2 linked regions of the Lepisosteus oculatus genome follow. The main gene of each other region encodes a partner of the protein of the gene in region 2 in a complex. Links are inferred from orthologs where the notes say so. Each region holds a gene or a part of one and is shown on either strand. Other genes may lie near its edges.

Evidence for each region.
Region 1: satb1a (region 2) and hoxb2a share a complex: the UniProt entries of both Homo sapiens proteins name them as parts of the nuclear protein complex. The link is inferred for Lepisosteus oculatus from reciprocal best matches to the Homo sapiens genes SATB1 and HOXB2.

Annotation. Positions count from the first base shown.
Region 1 is NC_090723.1:9,253,710-9,264,968, reverse strand, and holds hoxb2a (homeobox protein Hox-B2a), read left to right. Parts: upstream 1-5,538; 5' UTR 5,539-6,857; coding exon 6,858-7,278; intron 7,279-8,330; coding exon 8,331-9,061; 3' UTR 9,062-9,586; downstream 9,587-11,259. Other genes in the region: hoxb3a (homeobox protein Hox-B3a), read left to right, coding at 313-775, 1,884-2,638. UniProt on the Homo sapiens protein: Sequence-specific transcription factor which is part of a developmental regulatory system that provides cells with specific positional identities on the anterior-posterior axis.
Region 2 is NC_090705.1:29,694,760-29,705,988, reverse strand, and holds the start of satb1a (DNA-binding protein SATB1a), read left to right. Parts: upstream 1-5,460; 5' UTR 5,461-5,666; intron 5,667-11,229. UniProt on the Homo sapiens protein: Crucial silencing factor contributing to the initiation of X inactivation mediated by Xist RNA that occurs during embryogenesis and in lymphoma.

The sequences.
Region 1 (11,259 bases), on a different chromosome or scaffold from region 2:
TGGAAGACGAGTATGAAAGAGCCCCGAGCTTATTCGTTACTCTGCCCAACATGTGTGCCGGCGAGAAAAGAGTCAGCCGTCAGAGACGGGCATCTGCGAGCCGGGTTTTTGTGGAAACGGCTATTCATGTCAGGAGGCTTTTCAGGGGCGAAGATGGATTCGTGCCCGGTCCGGCGTTATCGTGTGCTTCTTCTAACCTTTCAGGTCAGCTTGCAAGAGCCCGCTGGAGAGAGACGGTCACGTGACCCCTGGGGCCAATGTTCTTCCAGAAGGTCGTCAGGACCCTGGTAGCCGGTGCAACTAATTTCGGAGATGCAGAAAACGACCTACTACGACAACTCGACACTTTTCGGAGGCTACTCGTACCAAGGAGCCAACGGCTTCGGCTATGAGGCGCCCCAGCAGACCTTCCAGGCGTCGGCCCACCTGGAGAGCGACTACCAGCGATCGGCGTGCTCGCTGCAGTCCCTGGGCGGCGGCGGCGGCGGCGGCCCGCCACACGCCAAAGCGAAAGACCTCAACGGGAGCTGCCTGCGCCCCAGCCTGCCACCTGAGCACCCACAGGCCCCCCCCGTCTCCCCTCCCCAGAACCCTGCCAGCTCCGCCAACAGCAGCTCGGCGCAGCAGCCGGGCGGCAGCAGCAGCAGCAAAGCCGCCGCCGCCGCCAGCAAGGCCTCGTCCCTCCCCCCCAACCCCAACCTCACCAAGCAGATTTTCCCCTGGATGAAGGAATCGAGACAGAACTCGAAGCAGAAAAACAGCTCCCCGAGCGCAGGTACAGCTCACGGGGTGTCCTTCCCCCCCCCACCTTCCTCGCTTGATTATGACGGGGTTGTTTTTTTTTTTTGGTACCCGATTATTTTTCTACCCCCTTTCATCAGTCGAAAAACGGTGCAAACCAACGCTGTCTGGTGTCCGAAGAGAAACGGCCATGGAGCTAAATCCTGCAAGGCGATAGGCGTTTTCTTCTGTTTATTTTTGACACAGACTTAGGTAAAGGAGAGGGGGGGGTGGATACCTTTGGTGTTGCCACCACTTGAAAACCGGATGCTGTAGTGTGGGTTGTGCCTCCAACACCACAAATGATGTTGCTACGGCTATTTAGAATCATAGATATCATAAGAGGAAAACTGTCAACGTAGAAGACAAAAAGGCCTCCGTTCATCACGCGTGGACTCGCTTTTAACTGGTTTAAATGTGGTTCCGCACCTGTTTGTGGAACTGGGTGGCACCGAGCTGCCCGCAGAGGAAGAATCACACTGCACTTCTCTAATAGATAAAAGGCTCTGTTATATATGAGCTCATCACTAGTGTTAAGATATGCAAATGCCCTAATTCACCCAGCTGCCCCCCCCCCGTAATAAACTAATTTTGGCATTACCTACAGCTACAGCGCTAAATATAACAGGAGAGGAATATAGCTAGAGATCTATTTATAGATATGACTGACGTCACGCACATGCAACTTACATCGCAGGTGCAGGGGAGACCCATTCGCGTGCGTCTTGCACGTGGGATCTCACCCGCGCTCGTGCTGGATAAATAAGAGACATGGGGCTGATATAGCGCCTTTAAAAGCCATCAAGTCAACTAGATGCGCGAATACAATATTGGTGCATTGCAAGGGGCTGGCGTTTGTTTTTAATACAAATTAATCGCAGGGAAAGTCGTTCCAGCTGCGTTATTGGCTATAGGGCGAGCGAAGCAATTTACATACACCAGGTCAGCGGTGGGGCGCAGATCTCTTAATAAACGCCACTGTTATGAAGAGGCGACAACTAATATAGAGGGGTTAAGTTTCCGTGCCTGTTCCCTAGTTTATTAGGAAACGATGCATTCAATTTCTGTATGTAGTAATTATCTTTTATTTCATTTCCACCCAGCGGAGAGCTGCAGCGGCGAGAAAAGCCCCCCGGGCTCGGCCGCCTCCAAGCGCGCGCGCACGGCCTACACGAGCGCGCAGCTGGTGGAGCTCGAGAAGGAGTTCCACTTCAACCGCTACCTGTGCCGGCCGCGGCGCGTGGAGATGGCCAACCTGCTGAACCTCAGCGAGCGGCAGATCAAGATCTGGTTCCAGAACCGGCGGATGAAGTACAAGAAGGACCAGAAGTCCAAGGGCATGGGCTCCTCCTCGGGGGGGCCCTCGCCGACGGGGAGCCCCCCGCTGCCCATGCAGTCCTCCGCGGGTTTCATGCACTCGATGACGGGCGGCTATGACGCGCCTTCCCCGCCCGCTTTTAACAAGCCTCACCAGAACGCCTATTCCGTGTCCACAGCCTACCAAAACCCCATGAAAAGCTGCCCTTCCCAACAGAAGTACGCCAACACAGCGCCAGAATACGACCCCCACGGTCTACAGGGTAACGGCAACAGCTACGGAACTCCTAACATCCAGGGTAGCCCGGTCTATGTCGGCGGGAACTATGTGGATTCCATGGCGGGCTCCGGCCCGACCCTGTACGGCCTGAACCACATGGCGCACCACCAGGCCAACAGCATGGACTACAACGGCGCCGGGCAGATGCCGCCGAGCCAGCACCACGGACCGTGTGACCCTCACCCGACATACACCGACCTCTCAGCGCACCACCCGCCTCCGGGCCGAATCCAGGAGGCGCCCAAGCTCACGCATCTGTAGCAGGTTTGGCACGCGAAGGGGACACTAACACGCGGGGGCGCCTGCGACGGGATCGAGCAGCAACGGCAACAGCAACGGAAAGATCCAGTGGTTTCTCGTGTCCCGCGAAGCGTGGAAATTCGGATGGCTTTTGTTTTTTTTTTTTCATTTTAAAAATAAGCGAGAGACAGAAGAGTTCCACACGTTTTCTTTTCGGTTGACGTGCAATTGTACGTGTGACGTACCCCCTGACCACCCTTTTTTTTAAAAAAAAAACAAACAAAAATAATTCAGAAACGGGGTAAGACGGGGTAATTGTAGTCGGTTAACCCAATAAAATCCGCCATATATTATATGTATATGGGCCGTGCCGCTGTGCGTGTAGGCTTTTCAGCACAAAGTCTCCTCAAGGTGATTTTGTGGTGTGTGGGGGGGCTTTTTTTTAGTCTTTCTGGTAATTTCCAGTGTTTTGTACATCGTCGCCCAGACAGAGGTTCCCAGCTAGTGAACGATCAGTCCCTGGCACCAAGGAAACCACTGGATTGTCGGCTCTCGCTTTCTTTCCTTACCTCTATCCTCCAACGTCACCTTAACTCACCCTCCCCCTGCGCCCGCGCCCACCTCCACGGATAGCGAGAAGAGAGGCGAGCAGCTCAAACTTAGTCTTCAGCACAGCGTCTACAAACGGGAAGCTAAGTTCACGCGTCACTCCCCCTGCCACCCCCACCTCTGCCCGTCTTCTCTGCTCCGAGACCCCACCTTTCTCTCTGTCTGTCTTTAGGGTTCACTTACATGAGGTAGCACCAATGCAAAACAACCCCCCCCCCACCTTTATCTTCTCTTGACTTAACGTGAAAACAGGGTATATTTGAACACAATGCGTGCCCGAGGAATGAAGCAGAAGTGAAGATGTTTCGGTTTTCGCTCGTGCTTCTTGTCCCGGCATCATTGTTGCACTTAGAGTTTACATTTTAATGGGTAAAAGAAAATAATGAAACAACTTATTTTCGAAGGAAAGACCTCCAATCAGCTCAATCGTGGCCGTCTTTCTATACGTGTGTTCGAGTGAACATTCATAAATATATATATTTATTTGTTATAGCCAGTTTAAATATTTTCTTTTTTGTATTATTTATCCCCCCCGACATTATGTATTTATATCAAGAAAAAAAAATGTACTTTTTTAGTATTGATCTGTTACGAAAGACGTTGTGTTCATGTCATTGTAAGCAAATTTCTTTTAGTTCTTGTATTCTAGGCAGATGAGTGGTTTTATGTCAGCCTTGTACATATAAATAATGTAATGAGTTATACTGCAGGCATGAGGACGGACCCAGACTGTTACTGCATAGTGGCGAATTAGAAGTCTAGCTTAACTTCCTTTTCGAAAATCTCCTTTTGTTCCTGGTAGTTACTTTTCCTTTCCTTGCTGAGAGTTGTCTGTTGAACAATTCTTTGAATAAAATTTTCTGTTATTCATTTTTTCTCGTCTTTTACGCGTCTGCACGATGCACACGCCGGGGGAATCACGACACGGTTTCTCTCTCTCCCTCTCAGACAGACACACACACACAACTGCGGTTTCAATTTGTAAGCTCAATCCTCCTCCTCCTCCTCTCTCTACCCAGAACCGCCGGCAGGGAGCCGGAAGTGCCTCGCCGCCGTGGGTGGGTCACGTGCGCTTCAGCCAAACACTGGCTCGCTTCTGCCAGGGATGCAGAAGGCGGGCGAGAGAGAGGCACTGATTTCTCCCTGGTACAGGCCTGTCCACCCTGAAGATGTCCGTCTTCACACATCCTTGTGACCGTGGTGTGGTGCTTCCAGGGGAGATGGTCTGTGAGGAAATGTGTCTCACATAACGGTGTGGGATGCGTAGGAAAAAACAAACTGCGAGAATCAGGGGGAAAGTCTGCGTGAAATAATTATTTACATAGCGCACAAGAGTCCCCTTTTCCATGGCGCAGTCGTGTATTCTCGCAGCGGCAGGTCTTGTTTTTGATGTGTTTCCCCCCGGTTGCTGTTTTTCATTTGATATGCAAGGAAGCCATTTGGTTGAACATCTTCAACCAGCGCCGCGAAGGCACACGCCCGGCCGTCCCCCTTCTGTGAGAGCAGCAAGGCCCCTTCTCTTCAGGAATACCGTTTCAATCGCGGACAGCGTCGCCGAGGAGAGTTTTCCGAGATTCCGCGAGCATTATTTATTGATGGATCGGTGAATTGAAAATAGAAATCCCGCCCCTCGATGATTTAAAAGAGTACGCCGTCAGAGAGGCACGGAATGACCCGACTTTTTTGTTTTGTATCAATGCCAGTTTGCAGCTTTCACATTGTTGCACATTTATTTTCCAGATAAAACATGATTACAAATAACAATAAAAAAGAAACGAAATTTCAACAGACAGGACGAAAAGAACTAAGAACAAACATCCTATGCAATATTCTATAGAATACAGATAGTCTAGCATTCAAGTAGCTGACGTTTTAGATTTTGGAGAATCGAAAGTAGTTTTTTTCGCTAAACCTCTCAAATACAAGCTGCGAATCCTCCGCTCCTTACATCGCCTGCTTGCGGAGTCATCTCCAGAGAGGGCCCGGAGCTGCGTTCAGGATCTCGCCCCGGCGCATTCACCGGAGCGCCTGCTTTGTGCAAGCTTTAAAACGCCTTACACGCCCACGCGAGGTTTTTTTTTTCTCCCTCAGCTTTCCTAATGCCTGCAGAACAATTCAATGGCTAAAAGCACGACATTTTGGGCCCACGCATTTAAATCTCAGAGAAACAGAACAGAGCGAAAGCATTTCTAATCTCATTTTAAAGCCGTGCTAGAAAACCTAACAGTTGCGCCAGGCACCGGTTGTACAGTAACATTTTTTAAACGTGGTGGATTCGAAATTTTTTTTAAATAATAATAATAATAATAATAATAGCTGTAGCTCCAAAGGAAGGACCTCTTTTGTTGTGCTGGGAAGGAAAAGGCAGATTCTTGAGGCCAGTTTGAATTCTGGCTGTCAAGCCCTTTGCTGGGAGAAAGATTGATCACTCCTCACTATTTCGGCACGCCGTTTCTAAAAATACCCTTTCCTTTACATTTCGTTTAAAAAAAAAAACTAGTATCACAATGCCTAATGCGGTTTAAAAAAAAAAGGAAGACTTGTGTATATTTGTCCATGAAGTTTTGCCTGGCACATTTTAGCAACACAATCGAATTGAAATAAAAAAGGGAGATGCTCTCTTGTTCCTGCGACCTCCCAATGAACCCTAGGTGTTCCAGATACTGGAAATAAACACCCCGTTTTAGAAAGCTAAACGTTTCTCGACCACCGGGGCCGTGTTGCGAGACAGCACGTTTACTTCTCTGTTCTCTATGGTTGTCAGCGGCCGCTAAAAATGTATGCCGCTGCATATAACTCGGGTGAATTAAGAACAAGACTGATCTTGAAAAGCCACTTACATTAGCCTGGGTCTCGCCGTATGATCCCACTGCTCGGTTCCCTTTATGAAAAAAAAAGTGTGTAATGGTACCTCTCATCCCGACAGAGAGTGTTGCTGCCCATGCACAGTGTATGTGTGGTGTGTGTAAAAGAGAATATTCTCATTTTAAGCAGAGGGAACGTCAGGTTTCTAACCTGAAAGCCACTGTCTCGGTGCCCACAAGAGGAAGTTCTTTTAACTTCGTTTTGCCCTGTCTGTTGGTCTTGTCAGAACCTTAAAGATTAATGACCTTTGCTCATCACAATGCCCAAGGTTCGCCAGCCTGCGAACGTCTTAATCGCCCCAATTACAGTATACAACACATCTCACCGTCACCCCCACAGTCTGGCGTGGGACTCCCCACAACACTGACGCCCCGAAAACTCTCCTGCGAGAGTCAGGTGCAGACCCGAGATTTTTTATTATGATGATGATGATGAGGCGTCGGAAATGCAACTCCCTAGCAAGTGAAACAAAACCAGGCTCCTGTGTTTTTGGATCAATTGGAGAAAAGCATGCTCTCTTTTTTCCTGCAGGCCCCGAATTTGTAATTGGTCGTTTTGGATCACGTGACGAGGAATTGGTCGCATTTTCGCCCTCGTCTCCACAGTTTAGCAGCCCCAGGTCCCCATACGACAGTAATATCACCAATATACACAATTATTAAAGCCCGCAAAATATCGCAGAGCGGGACCCTCGTTATTACGCGGTGTTTTTTATTTTTTTTTATTATTTGAAGACACCAGCCTTGCTTTCCGACCAGGAGAAGCTATGAATTTTGAATTTGAGAGGGAGATTGGGTTCATAAACAGCCAGCCTTCCCTCGCAGAGTGCCTGACGTCTTTTCCCGCTGTCCTGGAGTCATTTCAAACTCCATCAATCAAGGAGTCGACATTAATTCCTCCTCCGTTCGAGCACACAATCCCCAGCCTCAATCCCTGCACCGGCAGCCAGGCGCGACCCAGGAGCCAGAAAAGAGCTGCAAATGGCCTCTCGCTCCGCACCCCAGCGCCGCAAAGCCCAGCTGCTCCGGCGACCGCGGGGCCGGCGGCGGCCGAGTTCCCGTGGATGAAGGAGAAGAAGTCGTCGAAGAAGAGCCAGCATCTCGGGGCTGCCGCCGCCGCCGCCTCCTCCTCCTCCTCCTCGCCCTCGCCCTCCGCGTTCGCGGCAGCGGGGCTGGACTCGCCGGCAGGTCGGTGCCAGAATTAAAGCTGTCAGCTTTGCTGTTATTTGTAAGAAAAGAGAAAAAAAAGCCGCAGACCGTGAAGGTTTCTAGCACTTTAATTCGGAGAGACTGCACGAAAGGATTTGCCTCGGTGACAACACTAGCTCTTTCCCTGCTAGGAGATATAAATATAGCGTGCGAGACGCAGTTTGTACTTTTCACACGGTGACACGGTGCCACCGGCTCCGAATGACAACGAAATAAGACATTTCTGTGCATTTTTTTCCCCCAAGACGCTTTTGTTTGCCTGACCAAATGAGCAGAGAGAAGGAGGGTATTTCATGGGTGGTGTAACCCAGTGTAACCCAGGCAGGCATTCCCTCTGTGTGAGGGCAAAATCGGTCCCTTTTAGTTTAGGTTGTTTTTTTTCCCCCGTTGCATTTATTTAGAAAATCAGTCGTTCGATATGTTTACTGAACACCCTTTTGAACTGTGATGGCTCATTCAAAGAAAATCTAGCGACAAGGGTCATTATTTTATTTTTCGTGGGGAACTGCAAAATGCATTGACACAAGCAGATATGTGGACGCGAAGTCATGTTTCGATGTACCTGAAAAGAAGCCGACAAAACTGTTGTCTTCAAAAAAAAAAAACGAATCCCTCTCGGTTATATTCATCTCTCAATCCGTTACACTGATACAATCTCGGAATTTGATGGTCTCCAAGTGTCTTAAAGGAAACAAAAAACACACACACAACCTCTGAAGAGGAAGAAAGAGCTCTGGGCACAACTGAAATTTGGCTACAGAAAGGACGTTTGCGTTTCTAAATCATTTCTCTTTATTTTTTGGAAGAGGTGTGTGCATCGGACTTCCTATGCACACATTCCTGTATAATTACATAACGGAGCACAGGGACAGATTGATGAATCGTTTTATGATTTGTTGGAGAATGCTTTCTAGTTACTTATTTTAATGACAGCTAAACAGCACATTTTTTCCATGTCTGATTCTGTGGTTATTTCGACAGCTGGATGTTTTATTCTTTTTTTTTCTTCCGTTTTTTTTGTTTCTTTGCAGAGTCTCAGAGCGGGCTGGAGTCCGGCGGCGGGTCCCGCCGGCTGCGGACCGCTTACACCAACACCCAGCTGCTGGAGCTGGAGAAGGAATTTCACTTCAACAAATACCTCTGCCGGCCCCGCCGGGTGGAAATCGCCGCCCTGTTGGATCTAACGGAGCGTCAGGTCAAAGTGTGGTTCCAGAACCGCAGGATGAAGCACAAACGGCAAACCACGCACCACAGGGAGGGCCAGGATGGAGACCCGGGCGGGTTCGAGTCCGCGGAGGGCGCGGAGCCGGCCTCTCCCTTAGCCGGCCAGCCCCTGGACGTTTCGGGCCCGGCCGCGCCCGAGAGCGAAACGCGCGAACCGTCTTCCTCCTACGCCAGCGGCCAGGACGGCGAGCGGCCCTCCCCTGAGGAGGAGCAGCAGCAGGGCCGCCGCCAGGACCTCGCACCGGGCCCTGACAAAGCTGTCAGGTCGCCTGAGCTCCCCGCGCCCACTCACGATAACCCCACAACAATGAGCCAGGGCCGCGCATCTGGCCCGGATAATGCGTTTCCCGAGCCGCAGGACGCCGCCTCCCTCGCCGAGCTCAATTTCTTCTCCCCCGACTCCTGCCTACAGATCTCAGATGCTTTATCGCCGAGTTTGCGGAGCTCGCTCGACAGTCCGGTGGATTTTTCCGAAGAGGATTTCGACTTCTTCACGAGCACCCTCTGTACCATCGACTTACAGCACTTTCAGTTTTAGGACAGAAAGGGGCAGAGAAGCGACTTTCGTTCTCGAAATTGTAGACTCTCGTAGTCGCCTCAGCTGCAGGAGCTCACCCATATTTCACCCCTAGAACACAGACTTTCATTATCCGGGTTTCCAGTGTAAAACGAACTCGTACGTTATTTAAATGGGATAGAGACTCTACAAATATTCGGTTTCTTACAAGTCCAATCATGTTTTGACTTTCTTGGAAGTCTCTTTTTCCGAACTTCAGGTATTTAATTTTTTATTTTATTTTGATTTTATTTTATTTTTTTAATTTATATTTATTGGCGTTAGAGGAAGGAGTCGCGAACAGTGTAGCCTACTCAATCGATAAACTCTCAGGAAATAAATAAAAAAAATGTGACTGGATAGCGAGCTGCTTTTAGAAATTCTCTCGAAAAGGGTATTGTCCCTCTTTCTGGGTTTTAGAACTAGTTTATTTATTGAGATTCTTTAATAGTAAAATGCAAATTATTTATTGTACATTATTTTCATAGATGAAATAAAACCTTTATAAGCTTGATGAAAGTGTGTGTTTGCATTGTGTAAAAATATTTAGGGTTTGAAGTCCCCGGTGAGCTAAAAGCATTTCACATTAAGTTAGAACATGATTCCAAAAAATAAATTCTGTGAAATTTTTTAAGGATTTTCGCACAGCAATATTTTGGTTAATTTTTTATTTTTTTTTAGATTGGCATACTAATAATTTCTTGCTCAAATTAGAACAATCCAATTAGACTTCTATTCACCAAAATATAGCGAACATTTTGATAACGATGGAAAGTCAGAATAGCTGGTCTGCGTTGTTTCATTAATGTATTTGTTTTGTGTAGAATGTGCAGAATCGGAGCTTGTTTCTATTATTATTATTATTATTATTATTATTATTATTATTATTATTATTATTATTATTATTATTATTTAGAAACGTCAGTAGTTTTCTCCACCAAGTCATGAATAACTAACAAAAAAGCTTAGATTCAATCATTCATCGTTAGGATTATGTTTTATTGAATGAATTGGTTGAACTTTATGAATTATTTCGAATTTCTACAATGCCAAGCAGCACCACTAATATATTCCAAAAATAAAGTAGAAAAATAAATTGAAATTCAAATGAAACGAAATTCAATTGAAAGAAACCAGGAAAAAAAATGCAACGCTGGTCTACGAATTTCTAGGAACTTCGGGGTGTAGAGCTGAGCTCTAGTTTTTGAACAAAGCCCCCCGTCCGGATTTGTGATGCACTTTGTGCAGGGACACACACGTGCCGTGCTAAAAAAAACGCTTTCTTCAGACACGCAATTTTAAAACGAAAAACTCATATATCAGGCAAGTTTGTGAATGAAGAGGGGGGTGGGGGGGGTTCACCGTAGGACTCAATCGCCGTGACACGAAGAATAAATCACACGACGCCTCTGCGAAGTCGCCAGTGTCTACCTGGTACGACAGACCCTGGAAGGCGTTCAAGTCAGTTTAATAGTGAAGCGCCGCGACACGCTGGGCGCAGGCCGTCCTGTACTAAAATGGCGCTGAGGCCACAATGGTCTGTGGACTCTACAGGAACAATAAAGAGGGCAGCCATGATATATCGAGATGTTCGCCTCAGCGCTAACGGCAGTCCACAAAGAAGCCCCATATTATTATTATTATTATTATTATTATTATTATTATTATTGTCTGCAGGTGTCGTATAGTGGAACAAATTGCTTTATATATGCTAAACGTATTTGTTTTTCTCTGTATGCAAAACCTTAGATGATGAAAAAATAACCACGCAAGCATAACACAAAAAAAATTTTACGTTTTAATTGTCACTTGCTCGAATGAATTAATGCGTCATTGCAAAGCATTTATTAACGAAATGTTTCGCCGCTGTTATCCCTTGCTTATCGCTGTTCCCATGTGCCAGGCTCGGATGATGACAGATTACATTGAGATATACTGGAATTATTCGTCGTAGCCGTGAAAATGAAAACCATTTTCCAGGCCATTTCATTACGTCATTCGAAAGGTCACATCTTAAGTAATCATACCGATTACCAGTATGACGGTATATTGCTAATATGGTGGACTTTTTTTCCCCTCTTCATGTAAAAAAGACGTCTTTCACAAATCTGAAAAACGTCAGAACTGTTATAAAACCCGTTCTATGGCAGCAACAATGCAAACCGCGTTATGAAATAAGG
Region 2 (11,229 bases):
AGACATGGAAGATCCTAAAACAGACACATGTGGTACTCCAATAAGTATACAATTCTGTGAAAAAGTATTTTCCCCTTTCAGATTCTCTGTATATTAGCATTTTTGTTATTTGTTGAGCTTCATGTGGGCCGTAGTGATACTGTATATAAAGAAATTCTTAGTGAACAAATAATACCAATGTTTGTTGACTGTTTCATTTATTTCATATACTGTATGTAGTCATCCAACATCCAATGTCTCCATGCAAATAAGTAATGGTACCCTAGTGCAATCAATTCAATTAAAAAGATAACAAGAGCCAGCTGTGTGAGTACTTTATTTTTGAGCCAGGCCTGCACTATATAAAACTTACAACATTTGGCTCTCATGAGCAGAGTGATCCAATGGCTACAAGGGATACACCCTCTATTGGATTCCAGGGCACACACAGACAAACATACATACACACAGTCACACCAGGGCCAGTTTTCCCAGACTCCATAGCCTACCAGTATGTATTTGTATTGTGGGAGGAAACCAGAGCATCCGTTGGAAACCCATATGAACAATGAGAGATCATTAAAAATCCACACAGACAGCAATGAAAAAAGAACTGAACCCAAGAATGGTATCATTCCACATTAATTTGGCCCCAGTGTCCTGGCCAATTTTCCCCCTGGCCTTTATCAATAATATCCTCCTAATAATCCCCATCTATGAATTAGCTTTATTACTCTAATAGCTGACAACTGATGTGTGATGAGTGTACTGACACACTTTGGTTACAATTGCATCATCCAGGTGGATGCTGCACATAAGTGGTGTTGGAGGGGAGTCCCCATTACCTGTAAAGCACTTTAAGTGGAATGTCCAGAAAATCACTACATACTGTAAGTGTAATAATAATAACCTACAGGTCAGAAAATGTTTAGACAACCACAGTATATAAAGTAGTCAAGCCCTTGAAACTCCTATAGTCCATAGTTTTTCCTCTCTAATTTGGCTTACCAGCTCTCTGTTTATATATCTATCTGAAGTATTATTTATGAAAGCTATATTGTGACATCTCAGTCATTCATACTTTCAGGATGTTGTTTTTTACTCTGATCTACTATTGTAATTTTCCCCAAATGCACATACTATTTCTTATTTTTTAGTCTTTTTGTGCTCTATCTTTTAGAATAAATAAAAACTAGCTTTGGGTGGTTATTACAAAAATTATTTAATTGCTTTTAAACACACTTACTGGCTAATTACCTTTTTTGTGTTTATTCCTTATATTGAACTTCATTTTGTAAGTAATTATATTCCTTAATGTTTACATTTTAACAAACTTTAGTATGATCCCCTTGTAAATGTCTTTCATAAATGGATTTTTATTATCATTTAAAGGTTTAATAAATATAGTTTTAAAAAGTACTTTTTTAAAATCGTTGAACTAGTATCCTTCTCCCTTATATTTACAGACACTATAGTTTTCCACTTATTATACCACCTCAATAGAAAATGTCACCCCTTGTCTATAATTTGTGTTAACTATCTACTGTAACTAGTTTGTAATCCAAATATGCACATTATCATTCATCATTGCTTACACTTATATAGCACTTTTCTGGACACTCCACTCAAGTCGCTTTACAGGTAATGGAGACTCCCCTCCACCACCACCAATGTGCAGCATCCACCTGCAGCCATAGTGTGCCAGAACGCTCACCACACATTAGCTATCGGCGGGGAGGAGAGCAGAGTAATGAAGCCAATTCATAGATGGGGCCAATGGGAAATTTGGCCAGGACGGAGGGGTTACACCCCTACTCTTTTCAAGAAACACCCTGGGACATTTCATGACCACAGAGAGTCAGGAACTCAGTTTTACATCTCATCCGAAGGATGTTTACAGTATAGTGTCCCCATCACTATATTGGGGCATTAGGACCCACATGGACTGCAGGGTTAGCGCCCCCTGCTGGCCCCACTAACACCTCTTTTAGCAGCAACGTTAGTTTTTTCCCCAGGAGGTCTCACATCCAGGTACTGATCAGGCTCACACCTGCTTAGCTCCAGTGGGTTGCCAGTTGTGAGTTGCAGAGCGATATAGCTGCTGGCTTTTACCTTAAATGTCTGTTTTCTTCAATTTGGAAAACATATTTAAATTCTTCAATCCTGCCAGGTTTCATTCCAATTTAGCATATTGGCTTAACTGGGCTAGTTTAACAACTTTTCTCAGGTCCAGGTCAAGGATCAGTGACCATTATACTAAAGTGTAAAGCATATACAGTAGATGTTCCTGTGAGTTAGAAAATAAAACATAGTATAAGACTAAAGGTGTGGAAAAGGATTTTTGTTGCTGTTGCACTTAATTTGCTTTATAATGGTGCAAGTGTGCATAAGAGCAAATCATAACAGCACATGCAATCTGTATTTTAGTAATCCCACGGCTGAGAAAATACATGATAAAGTGGACAACATTAAGGTTGTACTGTATGTATTGTTTCTGAAAACTGTAAAAGAATTCACTCTAAATAACAGCTGCTTTCTGGCTTAAAAAGCCTTAAGCATTCATTGTCTAATCATTGAATGAGGCTTTTTCCTAGTTCTTGAAGAAAGCTGTTCACTATCATTTTTTTTCTAAACCCTTTTGACTTTTACCATTTATATTTCATCTAACATCACTGCTAAGATCATCTTGATACCATCTTCAACACATTCTTCCATTTCACAGACCTCATTTAAACATGAAACAACCTACACTATCATATCAGTAGAGGATTCAAACATTAAAGTATTTGCTGCCACCTACATGTATATACGATATCTTCTTCACAAATAGTAGTGCCTGCATGCACAAAGGGGATTATAAAGTAACTGCTTGATTTAACAAGTGTTCATTCCCCCTATACTGTAAACCAGAGGAAAATAGATAACATACAGTGGTAATCCTGTGCGCAATAAAAATAGGCTGCTGTTATGCTTATTGTGCCACAACTCTAATTGAGAGTTCTCTTGTCTAAAGCACATAGGTTTCAGCTTTGGGAAAATCCTCTAATCCACTTGTTAGGAACATGGCCTTTGTTTGGGGATTTGTAGGTGACATGTATGTAATGTGTGATACTGGTTAAACAAAAGAGTGGTTTTGAAAGTCTGAGCCTATACAAATCATAATTTGCACAGCTTCACTTGAGAACTGCTTATCTATTGAGATCTCATAACAAATTTCGCGTTTTTCAGCTGAAATAATTTAAAATTCTGCATAGGAAAAGCCTGATACCAATGCAAAATAAATTGACTATACAGAATTTTAGGTTTTCTCTCAATGATTTGGGAAAAAATGGCAAAAAAGTGCAGAATTTTTGAAAAGACAAAAATTCAAATCAAAGATGATTACTGAGTTGGTCTGATATTATTTCAGGACAGTCCTTACATTTTTGTGAAGCATTAATTATGGATTTTAACTTTATTTAATACTGAAATTGAAAAACGACGGTTCCGGCGACATTATTACACTGATTTTTATAAAGTAGTGTACTGTATGTGAGATGAAATGGAAAGACTTTAGGGAGAGAGGGTCATAGATACGGTATAAGCGTTATCATATCACGTAATTCAAAACATCGCTCTCTGATGTTTTATGTTAGGAAGAGAGGAAACTCACAGGTTTAACGCCAGTATCTGTCCATAAAGAAAAAACAAAACTTAAATAATCACCATGCGTTATCCTACTGAAGTAGTGTGTATAGCAAATAATTTGTCTCATTTGTCATATAGCTGCATTTTAACTGTGTAGTGTCACATCAATCTGCGGGTCACCAGATGTTTAGTAGAAGTCTAAATTGATAGGAATTCTTAGTTATATGAGATTAAATATACCAGGCTCAAAGAAAAAACGTCTTCGACATACTTAGTAATGGGAAGCATACTATACACTTCCTATACTTAATTAAAAGTTAAAAATAAACTTAAAATATTATCTCTACATTGAATGGAATTACAGTAAAACACATTATCTTTACAAGAACAGTAGAGCACGGTGTACTTTATATACAGTATACATATTGCTGTGAACAACGTGCTTTTTAAAATGATACACGCTACTCTAATCTGAATTATATAGAACTATTAACTATACATTAACGATGCTATATATAAAACATGACAGTATTTTGTTTTGAAATGGTTAAAAGACATACCTTTGTCCAAAAGTTTGATTTTCATTTGAAATAAAATTGGTCACATTACAGGTATTAAAAGAATATGTATCGATAAAATAATGTATTCATAGCTTTTATTATTACTTATTAGCTACTTCTTCGCAGCTGGTAATCACAGAAAATGAATCCATAAAATCTTCAGAATAAAAGTTTTACCAAAGGTACGATGCATTATTGATTCATTTTTGACCATTTTTGCGATCGCTTTCCCTTGTCTCTTCTCCGTTTTATTGTTTTGGATTTTCCGGACACTGAAATTATAAAGAAAATAAAATGCAAAATTTAGAAATGCCACGAAGAACATTTAAATATATAAAAAATACAAATACATTACATTATTTCAAAGTTAGGCAGAGTTTTGCAACGTTTTTGTTTTCCTGGTGCTCAATATTTGAAAACACCTCGCATCGAGTGTTTATCAATGATACTTACTGTAAATATAATAAGAAATAAAACTTTTTAAAGAGTCTCTTCTGGACTGATGGTGATGATGATGATCATTATCATCATCATTCCAACTCTACTACTAAAAATATAGAATTCAGGATATTTTAGGGGTTTTGAAGTTCTTCAACTATTAAGAAACACTGCTAATAATTTCGCTCGTCTTGTCTGAGTTTAGGAGGGGAAAGGTTTTATTAGGATGGTAAAGGATGTCTATGTTATTGCAATACAGTATCTGAAAATGAAACATTTTGTGGTGGCACTACGCGATACGCCTGTTTTATGGTTAACCAGGAATTAATATTTAATTCCGAAGTCTAGATGCGCTGTTTAATCTGCGTGATAATTCAAGGCACGTATAGGTTATTCTCATTTGACTTTGTTCATATTACCTTACATTTTTCATAGCAAAATTATGCATTTTCTATTAATGTAGACAATTTTATTTTTTAGACACGAAAGTACAACAAAAACAATGTGTGTTTTTCTTTAGAAATAAACCACATAAAAAAGTCCAAAATATTATTAATGTATTTTAATAATATTCAGTTTCTTGTCAAGTAAGCATGTGGGGTACAAACATGAACACAGATAAGTGAGACAGGGGGCAAAAACATCCTCGCAGTCTTCACTTCTCCCCGGTTACTGTGAAGCTGTCTCCCCAGGGAGCCAGCTTTGAAAACCGCTATAAAACAGCTCAAGGCTTCAGAAATGCTACGCCACAGCTGGCAAATCACCGATTTGAACATCAGAAACTGGGAGGGGTCGAGTCGTTTACCTGACTTCCTTTCGGAAAACCCTCCTCCCCTTACTCTACCCCATTCCTTAACCCGCGCTGATCTCACTTGCATTCATTCGATTGACTCAAAACTGCAGCGGAGGAACAGTAGCACAGAAACACTGTCGCTGCAAGCTTTGATCTGAGGACTTTTTCTTTATTGGATCTCTCAGGCGGGGAACAACTCAACTGACTTCGTAACTTTTGATGGAAAACGGGAAATTTGACATCGTCTGCTAACTTTGGCATCTTTAAAGGTATCGTTTTTTATTTTCCCAACTACGGTTACTAACACCTGCTATGATCTGCCTATGTGCGTTCTCTATCAAACCCAAAAGTTTACCTTTGCTCTTATCTCATTTACTTTTACTAGAACTCTTACTAGTTATATTTAGAAAAAATAATTGACGATCTGTGAAGAGCTAAATTACGTAATGTTGATATAGTCAGTTTAAAGTTATTTTTCTTAAATAATATTTAATTTAATAATCATTGTATATATGATTTATGATTACAGAGAAAGTAAGGTGATGGAAATATGTCTCTATATACTTTTGCCCAACCCATACGTTGTTTTTCCTTATAAAATAAAGCCACAAACGTGTTTTGGAAACGGGAAGCTGGGACGATGATAGGCAAGAAACACCGACTACGTACAGTGCAATAATTTCGTTTAGCTTTAGTAATTTGCTCTGTGATTTCGGGGAGGGGTGAGAGGGACAAGGGGGAGACTACAGTAGGATTTCACAACTATAACGGTGACTGCCATTACCAGTCATTTTAGAAGGGTTTTAGGTGGATTACAAATCCCCGTACTGAAGAGATTGTAAAGCACTGTTAAAGTTTTGTTTTGCATCTAATTAACTATGATGAAAGTAGAGACCCATTCAGTGAATCTGAATTGCACCGCTGCGACTTTCACCTACAGTACAGCGCACCTGAAGTACATACTGTAGATAATGTAGTTGACGTTAAGGGAAGGATGTAGTGTAACGTAATGGATACTGTCTTGTACCGTTTAGAGAGACTAGTACTGTCTTAAATCTATAAGTTTAGTGACTTATGTGGTCTGTAAAAAAAACAGACTTTTAATCTGAAGTAAGGGTGTAAATATAATTCCCGTGAAAATAAGATTACATAAAAACATGAATAGAATATACGATGAATTAATTCCGTTACGAGATCGTAAATAATTTAAATTAAGACGTTGACACTCAATGTACTGTCAAACAGCTTCAGATGCTTCTTGGAATTTATGAGGAGTACCTGAGATGCATAATTAATTGCATTTTTTCATTATTTGTTTTTTAATTAAAAAACTTTTCTCTTCGTCGTTACATTTTCTAAGATTGCTCTGTCTTTACTATTTGAAATATTGCTCCATCATATATAAGGTAAATCTGGTGGAAAACGCAGGATTGCTTGAGGAAGTGAGGAAGATGTCATCATTCAAAAAGCTCTCTAAATCCGTGAGTTATCTAATGAGTACCTTTCATCACTAGAGTTTATTTTAATGGAAAAGATTGTTCCCATCCATACATTTATTACTGTAAGTTTATATTATCACTACATTTTACTTTCCATCGGTAAATGATAGGCTGTTTAGCAGTTTCCTAAACCTTGGCACATAGTATTCATGTGCTTGAGTTGTCTGGCTAAGTTTGCACCAGATATTTCATTTTAGACTGTAATCTTTCCTGAAATACAGGTAGAGGCTTTTAAGACTCCTTTTATAAAACGGCAGTTACCAAGGATACTGGCGTTAAGTATAAAATTTGGATAAAATTAAAAAAAACTTTTATCCCCAGTGGATCAAATTTACATGAAATTGGCAAATGTATGTCTGTTGAGTACTTAGTGGTAATAAATGTAGTTGATCTGTAAAAAAAAATAACTGAATTGCATACCGAAGCTTAAAATGCTTCTGGTTACAGGAAAAAAAGAACATCTTACCAGACAAGATAATCAGAAGTATCTTTGAAAGCTTTAGTGCAATTATAGTTTGTACCTTATATTTTGAAAACTGACCCAGAAGTTATCTGAAGTTGTGAAAAGTGGCAAATGTATACGGTATCTGTTGATTACTTTGTGGTTATAAATGTAGTTGATCTGCAAAGAAATAACTGAATCACCTTTTCTCTTATACAATTTTTACATTGTATGCCAAATTATACTCATACCTGTCAGAGAAGAATTGGTATGACCTCGGCTTAATTTCCACTAGGTACAGTAATCCATTAATTAGACTTACAGTTATGCATCTTTTAAAAAAGTCATTTTGCAATTAAAGGCCAGGCTTTTGAGTTTGAAGTGTATATATTTGAAAATAAACACTTTAAGTCCTTTGGAATCTAATGAAATTACCAGATGGGCTTGGTTAATTGGGGTGCAAAGGTGAATTTTGAAACACTGCGAGTGGCTGACTCTAAAATGTATAAATCTGTAACACTTTTCTCAGGAAGTGAAAAGCAGCATATCTGCTTAAAGAAAAAAAAAATATTTGGTTGAGTACCTCAACACCCTTTCCAACTGGGAATGGAGATTTTTGCATGTGTGAGGTCAAAATTAATTATGAGCCTTTTCTGTGGTTTTGCTGTTGATGCATGATATTTTGACGTAAACGAATTGTTTTTTGAGTAAGAATGGTAAATGCATATGAGATCACTAATGGGAAGTTGTACTGTATCATTCAAGCAGTGCGTGGGTGTCTGTAAATTAGCTCCATTGTATTTTTTAGCTTTATGGTCCATTGTTGCACACTGAAGTTCACATCAGCAAAATTTTGTTTTTTAATCTTCGTTCTGTCATCTGTTCTAACAACTTTAATAGTGGAAAAATATTGTAAAACAAATTACCTCAAAAATATTTCTTCTACAGTATAATCCGCTGCAACTATTTAACATGCATGTCGTGACAATCATGTTGATAAAACTGACATACTTTTGTTTTGCATCATTAAAATAGACCCATTTAGTCAAAAATACACTTAAAGTGTAGATTGATCTTAATTTAAAAATTTCCATGGAAAAACACTTTGTATTGCAGACACAAACAGAAATGTATGTAAACTTTTCAGTATAATGGAGAGAGGTCCTCTATAATGTATTTACTCAGCACTGGGAAAGAATTGATTATTAAAATGGATTTTAATTTAGCTCCTTCTAGCTTTATATTATTCTTCAAGACTCCATTTTCATTTTGTTTATGGATTTTGGATCCTTTTAATAAAATATGTTATGAATCAATGTTTTCAGGGTTTGGAATTACTCCTCAGTAGAACTATCTACTAGGTTTAAGCACTGTGCATCACCATTATTTGCAATGTTATTGACATACATTTGGAAGTAGCAAAAACAAGTCAGCTTCTGTGGAAATCCAGTGAAGATATATTTGTTTATTATCTACACAGTTGTTATTGATAAAAATAATAGAAATACATACAGTACAAATAATGTAAACCTTATTCATTCTTCTATAAAGATAATATACAATTAAAAGGGGGATAAATTATTAGAGTGGGTCCTGGACATCATGCACAAATAAGCTATAGCCTTGTGCTAGAGTTGTTAGAAATCATGTCAATTCTTGTAAGTCCTTTTAGACTTCTAAGGCAATTTATAAATTGTGAACGTTATTAGCAACATTCTCAGTCTTACTGTATACTTTCATAGATGACTAAAAAGTGTATTATGCATTCAGCAGGTGTGCAAGTGTTGAGCACTCTTCTGATCTTTATGCGAATGTGTTAACCCCGCTTGTTGGCATGACATAACTTCATTACATACTGTAAGCTCTGAGAAATTGTGCCGATAAAGAGATCCTTAAACCATAACCTGATATAGATTAAATGCAGATGCAGAACTGTACGCTCCTTAAGTACTATACTAATGCTCTAGGGAAATGCTGTTTATCAACTGTCAGTGTTTTGTTATTAATAAAAAACACAATTTACTTTTCACTTCTTAGGTTTCCCTCTTCTTTGATAAAAACAAAACACGTTCAGACATTGTGATAAAATGGTGTTACAGCAGAACCAAAAATATGTGATTTCTTTAGAAAAGAAACGTTTCCATTAAGTGTCTGGTTTGAAGAATACAAAAGGGGCTGCTAGTGATACTGGAAATTCAATATATTCTTTAAACTAGGACAGTCTCCTTATGAAGTATTTAATGGATGGCTTGTAAAATTAATCATTTTTTCAGTCAATTTTTCCCAGGACAAGAAATCTAGCAAATACGGTATGCGTTCTTTTAAGAATTTCAGAATGATGAAGTATGTATTGTTTGCTACCAGCACTGGCAGGAAGTCATACCATTTTTGTTTTCTGGTTTTTGTGTTGTGATATGAACCCTGATGATCCCTGCCCAGATTCAGCTTGGCCTGAAGTTTACATCATATTCAGAGCTAATTGGTACTTAATTTGTCAGTTTTATCTCAGAGGAGGTAAGGGGGAAACACATTGTGAATGTGATCTTGATATAGTAATGTTTTTTTCTCACACATAGAAGGTTGGTGAATGTCATTGTTCAAAACAAGACATTGTAAATTTGAATGAGGTTTTATGGCTTAATTGAAAAAGGTTTGAAATGTGTATGCAGAAATATATGTTTTACAAAGAAGAAAACAACATTCTCCTGCACTGAACCTCTGAGACCAATTAGTCTATACATCAATTATTTTATGTGAAAGAGCTCAGTGAAGTGAAATGCTGCGAGATACAGGAAAACAGATATGTGTTTGTGTGTGATTTCTCCTGAATTTACTTGCATGCTTTCTATGACAAAGTAAAATCTCATAAAATAATCCATCTTTTCGTAGTCTGATATTTTAAAGACAATTCTAAAAAACACAAAATGGTTTGCAACGTTTTGCATTTTCAACTGCTTACCATTTTAAGAGATTATATTGTTAGTCGATCACTGGAGGCTGTGATGTCACCAAACAACATAAACTGGGATTGAAGAAATCTTCTTCCAAATCTGGTTTCCAAATGCTTACTTTCGAGACACTGGTTCAAAATGTGTTCACAAAATTCGAACAAAGGTTGTTAAAAATCCAAAACCAATGTATAATTACAAGAATGGATATAAACCCCTATAGTATGATAAGCAGCAAGCTGTATTGTTTATGTGTATTTCATTATTTTTATTTATGAAAAGTATTTATTAGACTTATATAAAATCTGCTAGTCAAGAGAGTCACAAGAGATTTAAAACCTTAATAATTTCTATTAAAGGGCTGAGAAGGGGTTTACACAAAAGAACCCCCCCACCTCACCCCCTCACTGGTATAGTGAATGGCAGAGGACTGCTACTTTGGCTATTGTGGGTTTCTGTAATCTGTCCCACTTAAGGGATGAGGCCTGATTTCCCACCTGAGACGATTAACACCCCCCCAGCTCACACCCCCCCTCCCTATGTAATTAACAATGTAGTGAAATAACAGCTCAGCAAACAGAGGGAAATTATACCTGCGGTAACAGGAGAGTAAATACCTGTTTAGCTGCCAGTGCATGTATTTATTTTCCTGTCGCCAGTAAATAAGGGCTCTGTCTCTCTTTTAATGTGTAGCTGTGTTGTGACTCCTCCTTGTTTGAAAGGCCTCTGTTATGGTTCCAAATGAGGGGAAAAAACAAAAACTTAACAATGATTCAGATACTTTTTGTGGCAAGCAACAACCTGGATTTAAAGAGGCAGTATCTTTACATGGATTGTTTCTGAATTCCTTGGAACTGAGGCAAAAATGTAACTAAAAATTACGCACATACCTAAGAACATACATATTCATAACAACTGCAGACAGTTTTATTAGAGCTAATTT